2 linked regions of the Rhinolophus ferrumequinum genome follow. Each later gene encodes a partner of the first gene's protein in a complex. Links are inferred from orthologs where the notes say so. Each region holds a gene or a part of one and is shown on either strand. Other genes may lie near its edges. The genes, in order: PSME4 and PSMB9.

Evidence for each region.
Region 2: PSME4 (region 1) and PSMB9 share a complex: the UniProt entries of both Homo sapiens proteins name them as parts of the spermatoproteasome. The link is inferred for Rhinolophus ferrumequinum from reciprocal best matches to the Homo sapiens genes PSME4 and PSMB9.

What each region holds. Positions count from the first base shown.
Region 1 is NC_046296.1:33,424,473-33,432,786, forward strand, and holds the start of PSME4 (proteasome activator complex subunit 4), read left to right. Parts: upstream 1-4,720; 5' UTR 4,721-4,743; coding exon 4,744-4,985; intron 4,986-8,314. UniProt on the Homo sapiens protein: Associated component of the proteasome that specifically recognizes acetylated histones and promotes ATP- and ubiquitin-independent degradation of core histones during spermatogenesis and DNA damage response.
Region 2 is NC_046286.1:3,315,584-3,324,378, forward strand, and holds the start of PSMB9 (proteasome subunit beta type-9), read left to right. Parts: upstream 1-5,026; 5' UTR 5,027-5,166; coding exon 5,167-5,226; intron 5,227-7,085; coding exon 7,086-7,153; intron 7,154-7,865; coding exon 7,866-7,997; intron 7,998-8,609; coding exon 8,610-8,739; intron 8,740-8,795. Other genes in the region: TAP1 (antigen peptide transporter 1), read right to left, coding at 170-358, 517-645, 1,481-1,678, 2,105-2,310, 3,069-3,199, 3,363-3,477, 3,961-4,558. UniProt on the Homo sapiens protein: The proteasome is a multicatalytic proteinase complex which is characterized by its ability to cleave peptides with Arg, Phe, Tyr, Leu, and Glu adjacent to the leaving group at neutral or slightly basic pH.

The sequences.
Region 1 (8,314 bases):
AATGCCTAACAGAGAAAAAAACCAGTAAAATAATAAAAAATTCATTCCTTTAGCTGTGATTTCCTGCTTGTTAAAAATTGAACATATACTTTAGTTCAAATGAAGTGGATACTATAAATAGATAAAAAGGATTTTTGGATGAAATATTAAAAACTTAAAAATCATATAGGAACTAGAAAAACAGTCATTTTTCAGATCCAATATTCTGGTGTCCTTAATAACTGTAACAGCAAGAGTCTGGATACTTGATTACATTAGATGACTAATTTTTAAAGATTATGCTTTTAAATATTTTTAAAGATTATGCTCTGGCAACAGAGATTCATACACTTGTCAAAACAGCCCCAGTCCCAAATGCATCACATATAGAAAAACTAAGGCAGGAGAAGGCAGGAAACTGTCACTTTTGTTCACTGCTAATAAGTGGATTACCAAGTAGTGGGCCAATAAGTATATCAAAGACATAAATATTTGATTGATAATTATCCCTGCCAATTCTTCCAGCTTGAGAAGAAATCTCTCTCTTTAGAATATTTTCCATGAAGGGCTATTGTACTTTCAGGGTCTTCCAAAAAGGATGATTACAGTTCGCTTCCTCCAAGAGCCTAATAAGAAGCCAATGTCTCCCTCGGGGTCTGACTAAAAGGATAATGTGCGTTAATATCCTTTGGCAGAGTATCCTGAGTTCTAAGAGATTTAAAAAAAAAAAAAATGCTTGGGAGTTGTTGTGAGGAGAAAACTGACCCAGACTTTGGGTTAACTGTCTTCAGGGATGAGTAGCCTGCGTATCCCTGAACAACTTAAAGTCTACCAACTTTCTCACCTAACGGGGTTTTAATAGTGTTTTCTACTAAACTTCACATAAAATAACAGAAAGACTTTATCTCTTTTGCTCCAACAATTCTTTTGACTTTTCCAGTTCAGAAATCCACTCCCAGGAAACTTGACATCACCTGGAACTGCTTCTTTGAAGCTGTAAATCCAACATTTCAGTTCTTCCAGACCCCTTGCCCAGGCTAATCCAGTCATATCGTGCTGCGCCACTTCAGGATCGGAGTCCCTTGATCTCTCTGTTCTCTGCTTGTAGGTCCTCTTCTGTCTTCACTTTGACTTTAAGGGGAGCAGAGTTTGCCACACCAAAATATGCCTTGTTGGGATGTTGATTATTTTAAGCTGGTTATCGTTTAAGAAACAAAAGACTCCAGGAGAACCTTTGACCTTCCCCCTAACTGCCTAAAAAATTTTAGATAGAGGGAGAACCTGCTCCAGTAAGGGAGCTATTATTACAGATAACTACAGTTTAATATGAATTAACTGTGATAAACAGGAAAAAAACTACCAAAGCCTTTGATCAAAGTCTTCTTTGTGGTTTATCGTTAAAATGGGCCAACAAACATCTGTTTACCAAACATTTGCTTTCCCATCTCCATGTGAGTTGCCTTTTTTGCCTTTGAAGCCCCGAACTACAACTCCCCCCTCCCACAAGCCACGCCCCCCCCACAACCGTACCCCTTCACCTTAGTCCAAAATGGCATATAAACCTCAACTGTCAGATTTGTCCTTGGGTCTCATGTTCTTATGGAACTCTGTATGTACATACTTAATAGATTTAGTTATTTTCTCCTGTTAATCTGTCTCTTCAACTTGATTATTAGACCAGCCAGAAGAACTTAGAAGAGTAGGAAGAAACTTATTTTCTTCCCCTACAATTTCAACCAACTTAGGCACTCTTTCAAACATTCTCAACTCAATGATCGATATTTAGAGAAGAAAATTCAATGAGGTAATGTAGGTAAAGCACCGGCTGAGAGAAGTGCTCAGCAAATGGTAGCTAACACCACTACCATCACCACTGCCATCATACAGACCCTTCCCTTGCTCCTTTGTCATTCTATCATACCAGCTTGTATGTATACATTCCTGGGCTGCTAAACATTATTGGAGGAAAAAAATCACTCAATTGTGCAGAGAGACGATAGTGAATTCATGCTTCCAGCACTGTCAAGCAATTCTACTATTTCTCTAATCAGTTTTCTGAATTTTGAGACCACTCTAAACCTTTTCCAATCTCCTCAAATCTTCTACCCATCCCTTCCTCCCATCATTCTCATTCTCTTCATTCAGAGAAAAACAAAAACAGTAATCATCAAAAAGAACTTCTCCAACTTCTGGCCAACAAATCTACAAAACCTTTCTACATTTGCATCTATCCCCCTACTTTTTCCCTCTGACAATGGGAGCAACCTTGTTTACTTCTAAGGACCAATGACTCCGCCTTCTCTTCCACTCTCTGTCATCCTCACCCACACACTCATATCTTCAAACTCTCTCTCCATTGGCTCCTTCTCATCAATATTTAAACAAATTTAAATATATCCCTTGCTCAAAAATTCCTTTTTATTCCAGCTACCTCCTTCTCTCTCCTGTTCTTCCCACACAAAATTTTATGAAAAGGTAGTTCACATTTGCTGCCTCTATTTCCTGTTTGTCCTCTGTCACTGTAATCTGGTTTCCACTCCCACATTCCACTGAAACTGTTCTTATCTGCTTTATCAGTCACTGCAAGGATCCCTTCTCAGGTCTCAGTTGACCTGTCAGCCACCTTCTGTGTAGTTGATCACGTCCTCCACCTGAAACAGTTTTTAGGAATGCCCACTTTCCTAGAATGCCTCCGACCTCTCTGACTGCTTCTTGTGAGTGTTCTTTGGTCTCTCTCCTCTTTCTCTGTCCAGCTTCAAATATGGGGTTCCTCAGAGTTTGGTCAAGGGCCCTATTTTTTTCATATCGTTAAATTAATTAAACAGGAGACCCTTAGTCTGAGGTGGTAGCTAATGCCTTGGCAGCCTACTTCAGCAAATCAAAATTTAAGTGTAAATACCTCAAGGTTATGAAATCTAACCGCTAAGGACAAGCAATCACAAGTAGTCAACTAGGCTTGAAGCTACAGCCAATCAAACAGTTTCTTTCTTTGCTTTCACACCTTCTCTATAGTAAAAGTCTTTCTTCTGGCTCCAGTCAGTGGAACACTCTTAACCATTCCAGGTTTGGTGCTGCCCAATTGGAACAGATTTTTGCTCCAATAAACTCTTCAAAATTTTAATATGCCTTAGTTTATTTGTTAACAATACTCTGCATCTCATTCCCTCCGATCCACATATAGGTTAATCCATATCCCCATTGAGATCATCCTTCCTCATCCATACATCAAAATAGTAATACTTACCTACCCCTTAGGCATTCTGCCTTTAAAGCTGTTTCTGCTATGTTCTCAAGTCAGAAAAGTTTCCACTATTTACCCAGCTTCCCAAACCAGAAATCTGACATCATCCTGTCTCTTCCCTCTCTTTCACTTTTAGTATTAAGCTCAGGCCATTCTTCTTGCTTAAATAGCTCTCAATCATTTCAACTGACATCTAGACCATTGTTATGTCACATTTCCTTAAGGGGTCCTGTATTGTCCAGTATTGTCTGTTCCAATCCATTTTTAGAAATGGATTAGAACCACAAAGCCAGAGTGGTTCTTCAAAAATGTAAATTATATCATGCCACTCTTACGCTTAAAATCTTTCGGAGTTTCTTGTTGCTTTTAAGATAAAACTCTGAAAACATCCTAACACTTCCTTCTGTCTCAATTCTCCACTCCCCTCTCTTGCAAACCATCTTCAGCCATCCTTAACTTTTTGAACTTCTAGGGTGCATGCTTGCAGTCTCTGTGCTGTTCCCTCAGGTGAAATGTACTTTCTCTTCTCTTCTTTTTCTAATCAATTCAGCACTTAAGCCTTTAAACTCAATTTACGTATCACTTCTAGGAAACCACTTGACACCCCTCCAGTTTGAACTCTTTAGCTATTCCCAAGGCGTCCTGTACTTATCTAGCAATTAAAGAGTGTTGTTTTGTAATTGCCTATTCCCTAGTCTACAGCTCTGACTGTAAATGCCCGGAGGGCAGAAACTTGGTGCTCTTTAACTTTCCATCTCAAGTGCAAAGAAGGAGTCTGACACACAAAATAGTGGTACAATTAATATTTGTTGAAAGAATAACTATTTCCTTCTTTGGAATGAGGGCAGCCAGGAGAATACCAGAAAGATGAGGGCTTAAAAGGGACAGAGTAGTGAAAAAAAAAAAAAATCTATAACAAGAGGGATGGATACCGGGTCCCTAGGTTTTTCCATACACGCGGTGTGGGGAACTAGGCCAACTGCCGTGCCGGAGGCAACGGCGACTAAGGGCTCTCGAGAGGCATTCGCCAGGAGCGCCCAACACCGGCCCAGGAAGGACAATAGCTTGGAATTCGGCCTCGTGTTTCCGGCGGGGCAGCCTCGCGTTCGGCCGCTCAGGCCCGAGGGTGGGGGCTCCGAGCCCGGCCCACGGCGACGAAGGCGCGGCCCCCGGGGCTCCCGCCCCCGCCGCCACCACCTCCTCCGACGCCGTCGCCGCGCCCCGCCCCGCCCCGCCCCGGAAGTGACTTGAGGCCCGTCCGGAACCTCCGGGCCCGGCGGCTGCAGCGTCATCAGGCGAGCCGGTGCGGGGCAGGCGGAGCGGCCGCTGCCGCCGCTAACGAATTGGGGATCGCGCGGGACTAAGAGCGAGCCGGCCAGGGGAGGGGGCCCAGCTGTCGGGCCGAGGGCGACGGGCCGCCGGCGGCCTCAGGGCGACGACGACGCAGAGGAGGCGGAGCCCGGAGAGGGGTGGGGGCCGGGGAGGGTTAGGGTGGGAGGGGGTGGAGGGGTGTCCCTGGGCTCATGGAGCCGGCCGAGCGGGCGGGTGGCGGGGATCCCCCGGAGCCAGGCGGGTGTCCCGGGCCGGGCCCGCGGGCCTTCGTCCCGCAGAAGGAGATTGTCTACAACAAGCTGCTGCCCTACGCCGAGCGGCTGGACGCCGAGTCCGACCTGCAGCTGGCCCAGATCAAACGCAACCTGGGCCGGGCCGTGCAGCTCCAGGAGCTGTGGCCCGGGGGCCTCTTCTGGACCAGGAAACTCTCCACGTAAGTGTGACCGGGCCTGCAGGATGGGTCTGGGGCAAAGGCTCAAAGGAACGGCGTTCGGGGGCGGGGGCGGCTCTTTGTCCGCCCCTGATGGCTGGACCCTCAACTCTGACCGTATCGAGCCGGTGCAGTAGTCCCAGGGTCGCAACAGAAGCTTCGGAAGCACTCAAGCCTCCTCCCAGCCTCTTTCCTACGGGACCTCCTCGGTCCTTCTAGTCCTCTACGTCCGCCGTTGGTGCTTTTCCCCAGGGGTTTGGGTTGTTGTCTTCCGACCTGCGGGGCCCCGAGGGAGAGACATGTGCAGTCCCCCAAGGGTCCTTCTTGGATCTTTGCCCCTGCAGGAAGGGGAGCAGAAAGGATTCGATTTCGGCGGAGCAACTCTTGATTTCTCCTAGTTCCTCCAGTTCTTTCTTCCCCATACGATCCCCGACTCTAAATAGCCCTCAATTCGCGTCTAGTAACTTTTTCTGAATGGGAAGGAGGCCGTAGGGAGCTTGCAGGTTCTACATTTTTGGGCCTGCTCGGTCTTTGTGGATTTGATTGAAAAGATTGCTTTAAAATCAGCCCTCAGCGCACACTTAGGCTGCATACTAGACAGTAATGTTGAGAAGGTTGAGTCTTAGAACGGGGAAAGTGTATATTACTTCTGTTTGGAAATGTACAATACTACGGAAAGGAGAGGAGAACTGTCAGGTTGTCCTGGGCGTTATTAGTTATTAGTATTGGGTTTGTTACTTTTTTGAGTTGCTGAGATATAACTGTCGATTACCTAAATCAGTTTCAGGAGTTCTGTTCTTTTATTTTTTTAGCTGCGAACTATAATTGGAGAAATGAGTAAAATACAGTTGTGGGGGGAAGGTTAGAGATTTTATTTGCTAGATGGACATCTTCCCTGTGTCAGAAAAACTTTTTTAAAAAAATTTTGCTTGTCTTGTTTGGCTCATTACATAAAATGTTAACATTGTATGTTCATGCATAGGGGTATGGATGGATGAATACTTAAGACATGTCACCTATCCAGTGTTTACCCAAATCTGCTGAGTGAACTGGGTGATGACTCAGGGTTTTGTAATGCAATAGTCTTCTCTACATTTCCTCACAGGATGATTCTTATATGTCTATTATTAGGGAGCCTCTGATTAATTTCTCATCTTCACTTGGCGGTGGTGGTGGGAACAATTATCCCTTTAATTAAAAAGCAAAACTAAAACAGTTTATTTACCCTTTTCAAAGAGTGACCATAAAATGTCAAGGTTAACATCTCTCCTCTTGGTTGGAGAGTGAAGTTTGTGGTGTTCAGATCCGCAGGAGACATGGGAAAAAAGAAATGCAACAGGGAGAAGAACCACTATTAGTCAAAACAGAGAATGTTTTATAAATAATTAAAATTCACATGATTTTTCAAGTGCACCTTCCTGGGTGTTTCGATTACTCAGGCATAGTAAAAATAAAGTTACTTTGCCAGTTCCAGCAATTCCCCATTTTAATCACTTGTATTGGATTTGCCAGAGAATAACCATTTAGGGGGACACAAACAGCTCCTTTTAGATGTGTAATATATAAATATACCAATTGTGAATGCATGTCTGATTTGGATTAATGAATCTAGAATCTACACAGGCATAGTTAAGTATTGTTTTCTGACATTATTACTAAGCTTGGCAAATTATCACTTAGGGTTTTATTATTTTTGGCTTATTAAGTGAAAACCTAGATAGGGCAAAAAATACAATAGAGACAACCCTTGGTGTTTAGGGCAAGATTGCAGTTTTGTGGCTTAATATTGTGAACTTAAAGCCATTTTATTTCTAAATAACCAGCAAGAAATGCTGTCAGATAGAATTTTATTTTGGAACAGTGGTTAAGTGCTTCAAACTGATTTTTGGGATTGCCCTATGAGACAATTTGAACCCGGTGGGACATGTTGTGATCTTGGGTGTTATTTTTCCTCCTAAGTCATGTTAAGGTGACCTGTTTATAGTTGTGCTTGTTTATTAAGTCTTGTGTGCATTGCACAAGTGTACATCTAAATGATGCCAGAACATGTGATGATAGCTGTGAATTACTTGAGTAGTGATTATATTTTAGTACTTTGTAGAAGAATGGAAAGTAGTAATGAAAATAAAATCTAATTTCTCCCACTAGTTCTGTGACTGTGGAAAGTTACTTTAATCATGTTTTTCAATATTCTTGGGAGAGAAATGAGGAGGTTGGACTGAATAATTCCTGAGAAACAGTCCTGCGGTGGTATTTTATGATTTTATTTTTTATCCTGTAGAGCCTCAAATAAACCAGTGTGTATTTTTCTCCGAGGACTGTGAGCAGTTTGTAAAGTACACAGTACATTCCTAAAGAAGACCAGAGTGTACATGCTCTTCAAAGTCGCTGGGACTGGATCCCCGACCAGAAGTGTACACCCCTAATCTGAGCGTCACAGATCTGGGTGGAGGTAGAGTTCTTTCGAAGACACTCAGCCTCCCTCTTTTTAACGTTTTACCACAGTTTTGTAGATGTCATAATTCTGTTTCAATCCACTTTGAGACTTGTGGGTCTGTTTCGCATCTCTGTGAAGAAAGGTTATTTCTGGGTGTTTTAAAAATTGGTCCTGTGAAATAACACAAATTCTCTTGTACAGACAGTTTAAAGTATTAGCACTTCCTCTTCAAAAGAGATTGTGTAACATAACTCATCCACAGGGCCATTTTCTAAGAAGCAAGGAAACAAATTAGAGAAGATAGACACAAACTACTAGTGGTCTTTGGAAAACAGCAGTAAAGATAGCTGGTAGACAGTAAGTGAAAGGTATTGGCAACTGGAATGGCCCAGGTAGAGAATAAAGGGAGTTGAAGAAAGGTAGTCTTGAAAAATTGCTTTTTCTGCCTTGCCTTTCTTCTGTACCTTTCATGAAGGCAGTGAGGTCTAGTCCTAAGACCTTAGTTTATCTGTACCTGGCTTTGCCACCAACATTATTGTCTTGGTTTTCCTTAAACTCTCTTAGCTTTAGGAAAATGGGAGTGTAAATTATTAGTGTTTTTTCAAACTCAAAACTTAGCAGTGGACCGTTTCATGAAAGCAAAATCTTAAACACAAAATTGGATTCCTTAAGTAGACTAAAACTGCACTGATTATTTTTTCTTTGTAACACTTCATTGATAATAGAACCTCCTGAAGCCTGCTCAGGGCTCCAACACATATTGTTTGAAAAACTTCACTGGACTAGTCCTAAGGGTCTTTCTAGCTAGCTTGTGTTCCTTGAAATTGGTCTGGAGGAAGGAGGGGCAGCAAGTGAATGGGCCTACTATTTCCTACAGGCTTACTCCATTCATGAT
Region 2 (8,795 bases), on another chromosome or scaffold:
TTCTTAGGTTTGGGGCAGTTTTATGGCATAGATGATGCTCATCCTGGCCTTGGGGACTTAGGAGGGATCTGTCTGTGCCTCATGTGAAGCAGGCTGGAGACAGGAGGAAACTTCAGGAGCGGAGGGTTGAGAGTGTGTTTGATGGCGTGCAGGCACTGGGAGGTTGTACCTGCAGCACGAGGACATCTGGATGGTTTGGGTAGGCAAAGGAGACATCTTGGAACTGAACGACGCCCTCCAGCTTTGAAGAAGTCAACACACCACTGGCTGGGCAGCAAGGGATCCGGTCCAGATACTCAAATATTTTCTCTGAGGAGCCCACAGCCTTCTGCACCCTGGGATAGCTGGAGAGTAGTACCTGGAGGGGAGGTATGCATAGTGAGGTGGGGTCCAAATCTGTTTGCCAGGGCTATGTGATGGGAGAAGGGTAAAGAATGGGAGGAGAGTGACACAGAGGGTGACACAGAGGGATGGGGCAAGGAAGACCATTGGGGAGTGCAACTGGGAGGGCCTCACCTCAACAGCTGTGGTGAACTGGATCTGGTAGAGAACAAACGTGACAAGGTTCCCACTGCTGACAGCCCCATTGGTCACCAGCTGCCCACCAATGTATAGGATTCCCACCTTCAGCAGCATCCCTGAGATCTGTGGAGAGATCACGGAGAAAAGGGGTTGTGGTAGAAATCTAACAGCGGGGCACAAAGAACCAGAATCCTTAGCGTTAATGAGATATAAAGTCCCTTTCCCCATGTAACAGCAGGACGCTCCGTAAGTAGAAAGGGAGAATGAACCATAGAGATGCCGTGCTCTTACTCAGTGACACGTGACAGAGTCACCATCATCATCACCATTATTGGCTTGTTTGGGGAGCGTCTTGCTCGTCACAGAAGGCTTACGTGAATATAATGTAAGCTAATATTCATATCAAGAGCTCTGTAAACCAGGTTATATCACTCCCACTTGTTAAAAATGAGGGAACAGTCTCAGAGAAGGTAAGTTACGAGGCCACGGTCACAGAGCTAGTAAATGGCAGCACCAAGCCAGGAGCTTCTGCTTGCTGGTCTAGGCCTCTAAAGACGCCACAGGTGCCCCCATCTTTGGCTTCTGCTATTCCCGTGGCTCTCACTAGCACATCACACAGTCCCAGCATGAAGCTAGCCCAGGTGCAGGAATTTCTGGCTCCCTGAGCACCCTCTGAGAAGCAAAGGAGGCTCTAGAAGGCATGGAATCTTCCTCAAAAGGGGGTTGGGCAGATTTTGTGTGCCACAGAGAAAGAAAGCCATCTGCTAGGTGCTTGCCTAAAAGGAGGGAGTGGGTCAGGAAGCCTGAGTAGGGTAACTGAGCCTCAGGTTGCTAGGATGAGAACACTGAAACCCCCATTGCCCAGTGGAGGAGGAGTGTGGAGCCGGGTCACGGGAAAGGGAATGGAGTCAAGGTATGTTGGGGGAAAGGGAGCAGGCCTTCATCTCCAGGTTCTCACACTAGTGGTCCAGAGGTTGACTGCATAGGCCAGGGCCTCCTTCTGGTTGAGTGTCTCCATTTCCTGCAGCTTTTGCCTAAACTTCTGGGCCTCAGCCTCCTCGTTGGCAAAGCTCCGGACTGTAGGCATAGCTGACAGGACTTCAATGGCCACCTGGCTGGACTTTGCCAGAGATTCCCGCACCTGTACTGCCAGCACCTGTGGAGACATGTCCAAGCCAGGGTTGGCAAACCATAAGGGACACTAGTACCTGAGTTACCTGGTTGGAGATAAAAGGTGAGAAGAGACAGAGGGACAGGAGAGAAGAGAAAGGGACTTGGCTATATCCCTGGGATCCTAAAGAGATCCAGAGGAGAGGAAAATGACTCAGAAGCGTGATGGGATCATATTCTTGAGATTGGTGATCGTAGTCTTAAAGACAGACTGTGGGCAGAAGTTAGAAAAGAACACACAGAGACCATGAAGACTAACAGTGAGCAATGTGGGAACACGGACTACAGGAGTGGGGAGTCCCGGGAACATGGAGAATCAGCCAGGGTGCAGAAAAGAAAGCGAAGAGGAACTGGGTCCTCCAGGTGAGGGAGATGAGTGTCTGTGTAGGTTGAGGCAACTCCTTGGACATACCTGGTACCATTTTCCCAGCTTCTTAGGCAGAAGGAAAAGCAGAGGCAGGGAGATGAGGGTGACCATGGTGAGGGACAGTGACCCCCAGAGCATGAGCCCCAAGAGACACAGCCCCCGCACCAGGTACCACAGCAATAGGCTCAGCTCCTCACTCAGAGACTCACTCAAGGTGGACGTGTCCTCTGTTACTCGAGATGTGATGGCACCTGGCAGGGGTTGGGGAAAAGAGAGAGGAGTGAATGACAGGCTCAGAGTGATGGGAGGGACCAGTAGTGAGCCGGGGTCCAGGGGGAGGGGTGTCAACATGGTGTTCTAAGGAGGCTGGGAAAAACAAGTCGGGGTACAGGGAAGTTTGGGGGTCTCAATGCAGGGAGAGTATGTTAGACAGGGAAAGTCTGGCCAAAAGCCTTCATTTTAATTGTAAAGAAATTGACGCCCATATAAATTCCCATATTTCTGTTGCTTAAAGAACTTGCATACGCCACGCTGTACACATAGGCAGGAAGAGCTTAGGCTGGTTATATCACAGCTGGAGGAAAATGGAGGGTGCTGCTAGAAAGCAGTCCAGGAAGCTTTGGGAATCAAGAGATGGGTTCTGTCCTCAAGTTCGTCTCTATCCATACGTGACCATGCAAGTGTCAGCACTTAAGAGGTTAGGCCTGTTTCCTTCTCTGTAAAATGAGGCAGTTGGACTCTGATATCAAAATGTCCAGGTTTGCAATGTTATAGTTTCCATCTAAATACATAAATAGAGATAAATTTATGAAAAAACCTTGGCTGGAAAAACTAGGCTTTTCTGAAGGTAAAGAGTACAATATTTTGCTCTTGAGGCATACCAAAAATAAGAAATGACAATGTCTATGCGAGAGAAAGAAAGAGGGAGATATCAAAGTTATAAGTACAAGGGGATCTCAGGGAATATAAATAGCATATGGATGTACAATGGAAGAGTTTCATGAGAAACCTGTTTGGTTCTGTTGGAAAAACTCTGTTTCCTGGCGCAGGACAGCCCGAAACACCTCTCCCTGCAGGTGACTGTGCACGCGGCCCATGGTGCAGTTATAGATCCCATCAGCCATGAACTCAAGCACTGCACTGGAGACAGACAGAGACAGAGGGTCAAGGGTCAATGTGTGCTCAGGGGACAGAGCAGGTCCCTGCACTTTAGACGGCAGCCTCCATTTCCACCTCCCTCTTTTGCAGCCCCCCGACCCCCCACCACCGCCTGTTCTCAGCCTTCCACCTTCAGCCCCCAGACCTGGCTATGGTGAGAATGCACATGAGAGTTATGTTTCGGGTGAAGGCAGCTGCTGCCTCATCTTGGAGAATCCAGTCAGTAAGGCGGCCGGTGAAGAAGGGAATGGCCATCTCACCTGCGATGGGACAGAAGAGATGAGTCAGTCACAGATATCAAGTCTAAACAGGCCAGCCCCAACCAGACCGCCCCCGCCAGTATCCTGGAGGGCAGCGGCAGAAAGTCCTCACAGAACACAACCCAGCACCTGAGCAGGCCGGCTTGGAACTTTAAAGCTCTGCGGCCCCACCAGACCTTGAGGAGTTTAATTAGGAAGCCTAGAGATCATGGAGTATCTTAAGATACCCTTGTATGAAAAATACTGCCTCAGCGGAAAGGACTTGCCTACCCCAGGAGGCCTAGTGAAGTGACGCCTGGGGCAGCACTGGAGTCCAGGTCTCCGTTTCCCACCCCGTCCAGGAGTGGTCTCCTCAAGACCCGAGCTGAGTCCCCTTTCTCTGACCCACATTTCCCAGAGCTCGGTAACCTATCTCACGGATCATTACTCTTGATTCCTGCCCAGTTCCCCAGCGTCCATCCCTCTGGCCCTGAACCCCCTTACCAAGGCAGGAGAGGACCAACAGGACCAGAATGAACGGGAGGCGACGTATCTCTGAGCCCAGGCAGCCTAGAAGCCGACGCACCGCGTCTCCAGAACCCCTGTGACCTCCCAGCATCCAAAGGCTCCGGAGCTTATGCCACAGGGCGGCTGCGGGCAGTGCCGCTGCGTAGCTGAGGACGAAGGCGTCCAGGCGACTTCCCCAGTGTAGTAGCCTGGTGCTGTCATTGTCCGTGGAGAACCCCCACGAGCCCAGCTCTCGGAACAAGGCAAGTCCTGGCAGAGCCAAGCCCAGCGCCGCCGCCAGTGGCTCCAAAGCAGCCAGCCATCCCTGGACTTCTTTGCTTTCACTCTTGGTGCCAACTGTTGCCCTGAGGACCCCACGGGCCCCCAGCCACAGCACTGCCCAGCGGCTCAGGCCTACTACCCAGACCCTGAGCAACGGCAGCGCGGCGGGCACCAGCAGGGATGACATTCCGGGCAGCGCCGGCCGGAGCAGCACCCAGTCGGCGAGAAGCAGCAGCGTTGACCCCAGCCACGCGAGGAAAGCTCGGGAGAGGCAGTGGCACCCGCACGGAGCGGGGGGCGCTGAGCTTGCCATGGGCGGGCGGGGGTCGCGCCCGGGCCTGGGACTCTCGGCGGTCCCCGCTGGGCCCGAGGCTCTGGGTGCTGTGGGAGTCTGTCCCGAGCGCGCGGGGACCAGCGGCCGGGCAGGGCGCGAGGGGGCGGGCGGGCGGCGCTCTCGGAAAGCCCCGGGAGCCGGCAGAGCCCGCGGTGCTGGCTAGAAGCGAGCCGTTTAGGGGAAAGGGAAAACGAAAGCGCCGCGGCACCAACCAGAGCCTCCCACTCGCCGACGCGCCGGCCCCACTCTGTCGGGAGTGGCCGTTTAATCAGTTCTGAGGTTCTGGGGAGCTGCCTTGGTGCTCCACCTCTCCATCACGCACACCCGTCCGTCCTCCTTTTCTTGCCACCTCAAGTAGGATCCACTTGTCAAGACTTCTTTACCCCAGCCTCAGAGTGGGGCTCTTTAGTCACCTGTCTCCGGGCAGATCTGCCCCACACAGGTTAGCGTCGGGGCGCTAAGCCTCACGGAGAGGACGCTGGCGCCCCCTGGCGGGCGAGGAGAGGGGGCGGGACTGTAGCGTGCGCGCAGCTGGCTGTCCCAAGTCCGAAACCAGTGCCGCAGGCGGCGAGGAGCGCGGCGCCGAGATGCTGCGGATCGGAGCGCCAACCGGGGACTTACCCCGGGCCGGAGAAGTGCACACTGGGGTAATGAGTCTGGGCGTGAGGGTCAGCAGAGGGGTGGAGGAAGTGGGGCGACAGGGGGATTCTGGAAGCGCCAAGGAGTGAATACGGAGACTAAGAGTGAGGAGGTTCCTTGTAGCACCCAGTGCTTGCACCCTGCAGTGAATCCAGGGCGTCTGTTCTGAAGGGGATCATCTTGGGGCCCGCAAAGGGCCTGGGCACGCGAGGCTGGTGGAGAAAGGGGTGCTTTGGCTCTTAGCTGGAAGCGTCAAGGGGAAGCTGCTTGCTCTAAAGCGCTTTCGCTTTCACTCTGGACTAGAGAGAGGGGCTGGTTAAATCAGGAGGGGGCTGGAGAAGGAGCAAAGAGATAAGGAAACGGTGCTCTGGATGCAATAGGACATCATTTGGGGGGTGGGGTATGGGCACTGATTGAGAAGAGCCAACTCATCACACAGAACTTTGATAAACTGGCACCTGGGCAACTTACAGCCCCAGCACTGATACTGAGGTTTCCATGGGAGCCCGTGGTGCCCTTCCCCAGCTTGGCCCAGGAGGGCACCTGCTTGGTCCAGGTGCCGCCTGCTCCCTTCCCGGTGCCTTCTCTCCCCACTCCCACGCACGTGCTGGGGGGCTTTGCCCAGGCTGGGCTCCTGGGGCAGACGGCAGCCCACCGCTGGCTGGCTTCTGCTCCCAGACTATTGCTACCATTCTTGGCTTGGGGGTACTTTATTACAGAGGAATAGCCCCGAGGATGAGTTGCCCCTGCTCTCTGGCCCTCTATTCATGGTAAATCAGTATGTGAGAGAGGACTCACGGGCGATATGCCCGGAGGGCTGGGGGGGGGGCAGAGTAACTTGGGGAGTGGTGAGAAAGAGAGTAATAATCCCACTTATAAATTAGAAAATCTCTCTCCTCACTGCCAGATGAGCAGCAGAAAGTAGGAAGTAGCAGCCAAACAGAGTGGACCTGGGTTTTAGACCTGAGTCTGTTATTAATTCTGAGTGATTGGATAAGTCACGTGCCTTCTCTATGACTCAGTTTCCTCATTTGAACGAAGGATCTTTATGCCCTTTTCCAACTCAACAGGACTAGATAAAGTGTAGCTTTATCCTCCTTTACTCTTCTTTAATTTCTTTTCTTGACCTGAAAAAGTCAGCTGAAACTCTCAAATCAAATCCTCTCTCAGTACAGATTTCTTCCCCTGACTAATGAGATATCTATTTGCCTCTTAATCAGAAATCCTTACTTGAAACCTTTGTTTTAAACTGTCTCATATGCTCCTTGCTGCTTTCTTCCTTTCCTGAGACGTGACCCTGCTGACCATGGACCCCCTCGACATTTTCCAGGGTTCAATAAACTGAAAGAGCTCACTTCTGATTAAGGGGGGGATGGGGAGGATGTAGATGGAGGATTCTGGACCCCAAAAAAGACCTGCGCTTGTTTCCCAAGGTCACGGTAACTTGCTTCGCCAAGTCTGTACCACATCTGCCATACAAGCACATGAGGTGGAGATAATTTACTTGTGAGGCTGGCTCACCGGAGCTTGGAAGAGCCCACTAAGCCAAATTTCTGCCTCTAGTAGCCTCCTCCCCACCTCTCTCTTTACAAAGGAAAAGATTCCACTTTGGAAGTTTGGGGCTTAGGGATGCAGTTCTTCCTGTGTTGTACCATGGCCAGGCTGCCATTCCCTTGAGCCGGGAGAGACAATAGAGAAAATGGGAAGATGGAGAAAAAAATCCTGTACTGGAGTTAGCTCTGGCCTGAGTTACTGTGTGACCTTGAGCCAGTCCCCTCCCCTCTCTGGGAAGGTTTCCTCTGGGAATGTGACAGGAAGGGATCAAGGCTTTTCTTGCTCCGACATTCTATCCTCTGTGTCTCTGCAGACAACCATCATGGCAGTACAGTTTGATGGGGGCGTTGTGGTGGGTTCTGACTCCCGAGTATCTGCAGGGTAAGTACCAGCTTTGGAAGAAATCTACGGGCCCCAAATATGCCTTTTCCTTACCCATTCATTAAGAGTCTGGTGAACTGGAGCTTTGGAGAAATGGAATTAACCTTTCAGAAAGATTACTAATAAGCTATTAAGTGGGTGCTTGTGTCTCTGAATTCAAGGAGGATCATACAGGGCCTGAATGCTACGTGGCCTGTCCCTGGAAGGAATAAGGTCTGAGAAGGGGATAGTGAGAGAGATTTGAGGGGCCCTCGTTCCTTCTATAGTTAGAGGCAGAAAAGATGGTTCTGACAAGATGAAATTCTGGTTTCTCATCTATCACCTATTGAACTAATTTTGTCTTCCTCCTGGTCAGTTTCCTAACATGTAAAATGACTATATGGGATTAGATCAATATTACTTACTTTATGTTTAGAACACATAACTTCCTCAAGATGGTTACTAGCAAAGAAAAATTGATGAGGAACATTAGTCGTAACTTAATATTTTTTATTTTGTTATAAAATCTGAGCCTAAAAATAAGTCTAATTTTGATTACTTGCAGTGTTTCATTTACTTCAGATGATTTTTTTGCTCCCTGCTTTGATCCAAGCATTACATTTCGTGCACTCCGTGGTCGTTCTCTTGTCAAATAAATATGAGGAACATTAGACAATTAACCTCAATCTTCCTGCAATTCTAACGCCGATGATTGTCGACCCCTCCCTGACAGAGAGGCGGTGGTGAACCGAGTGTTTGACAAGCTGTCCCCACTACACCATCGCATCTACTGTGCTCTCTCCGGTTCGGCTGCTGACGCCCAGGCTGTGGCCGACATGGCTGCCTACCAGCTGGAGCTCCATGGGTATGAAGCTTTGGGGTCCTCACACTACACCTGCTAGCGCTCCCCCAACCAGGGAGCCCCATAGTGTCCTGTTCCAGGAGCACTGCAGTGGAAAATGAAAAATTCTTGTTTTGGCTCCTGCTTTTATTAGCTTTTAACTGGCACTTGAGTCTCTCAAGCTGGTTTCTACATCTGTAAAGTGGGGATAATACTCCCTCACCAGATGGTTATTTTAAGAACCAAGTGATATAGGTGAAGGCAGTTTGAAAACTGTAAATCACTATCCTGACATGAATAATGAGGAAGAAATGATAATGTGGCCCACATATCAGGTTACCGTATGAGAAGTAATGTTTATCTGCTTTTACCCACAAGCGCAGGGTCCTTGGAGCCAAGAGAGTTATGTGATTGGGGGGTGGCGGGCTGGACAGAGTAAAGGAGGGGAAAATTGAGATCTTCTTATCAATTGGCAGTGTGAGACTCAGGTTCCCCTGCACACGTGGGAGGGGAGCTGGAGTTTGACCTATTGTAGCTATAGGTTTCAGGTGTCACTTGGCAGGGATGACGGGAATGGCACAGGACGGTGAAACTTCAGGAAGTTACATTGACCCCTATTCCTAACATTTCCTTCAGGATGGAACTGGATGAACCTCCGCTTGTTTTGGCTGCTGCAAATGTGGTGAGGAATATTACCTATAAATATCGGGAGGACCTGTCTGCACATCTCATGGTAGCTGGCTGGGACCACCGTGAAGGGGGCCAAGTGAGTCTCTCCCAAGGCACTCCCTCCCTGGGGGTTCCCCACGCCCCTCGAGAGGA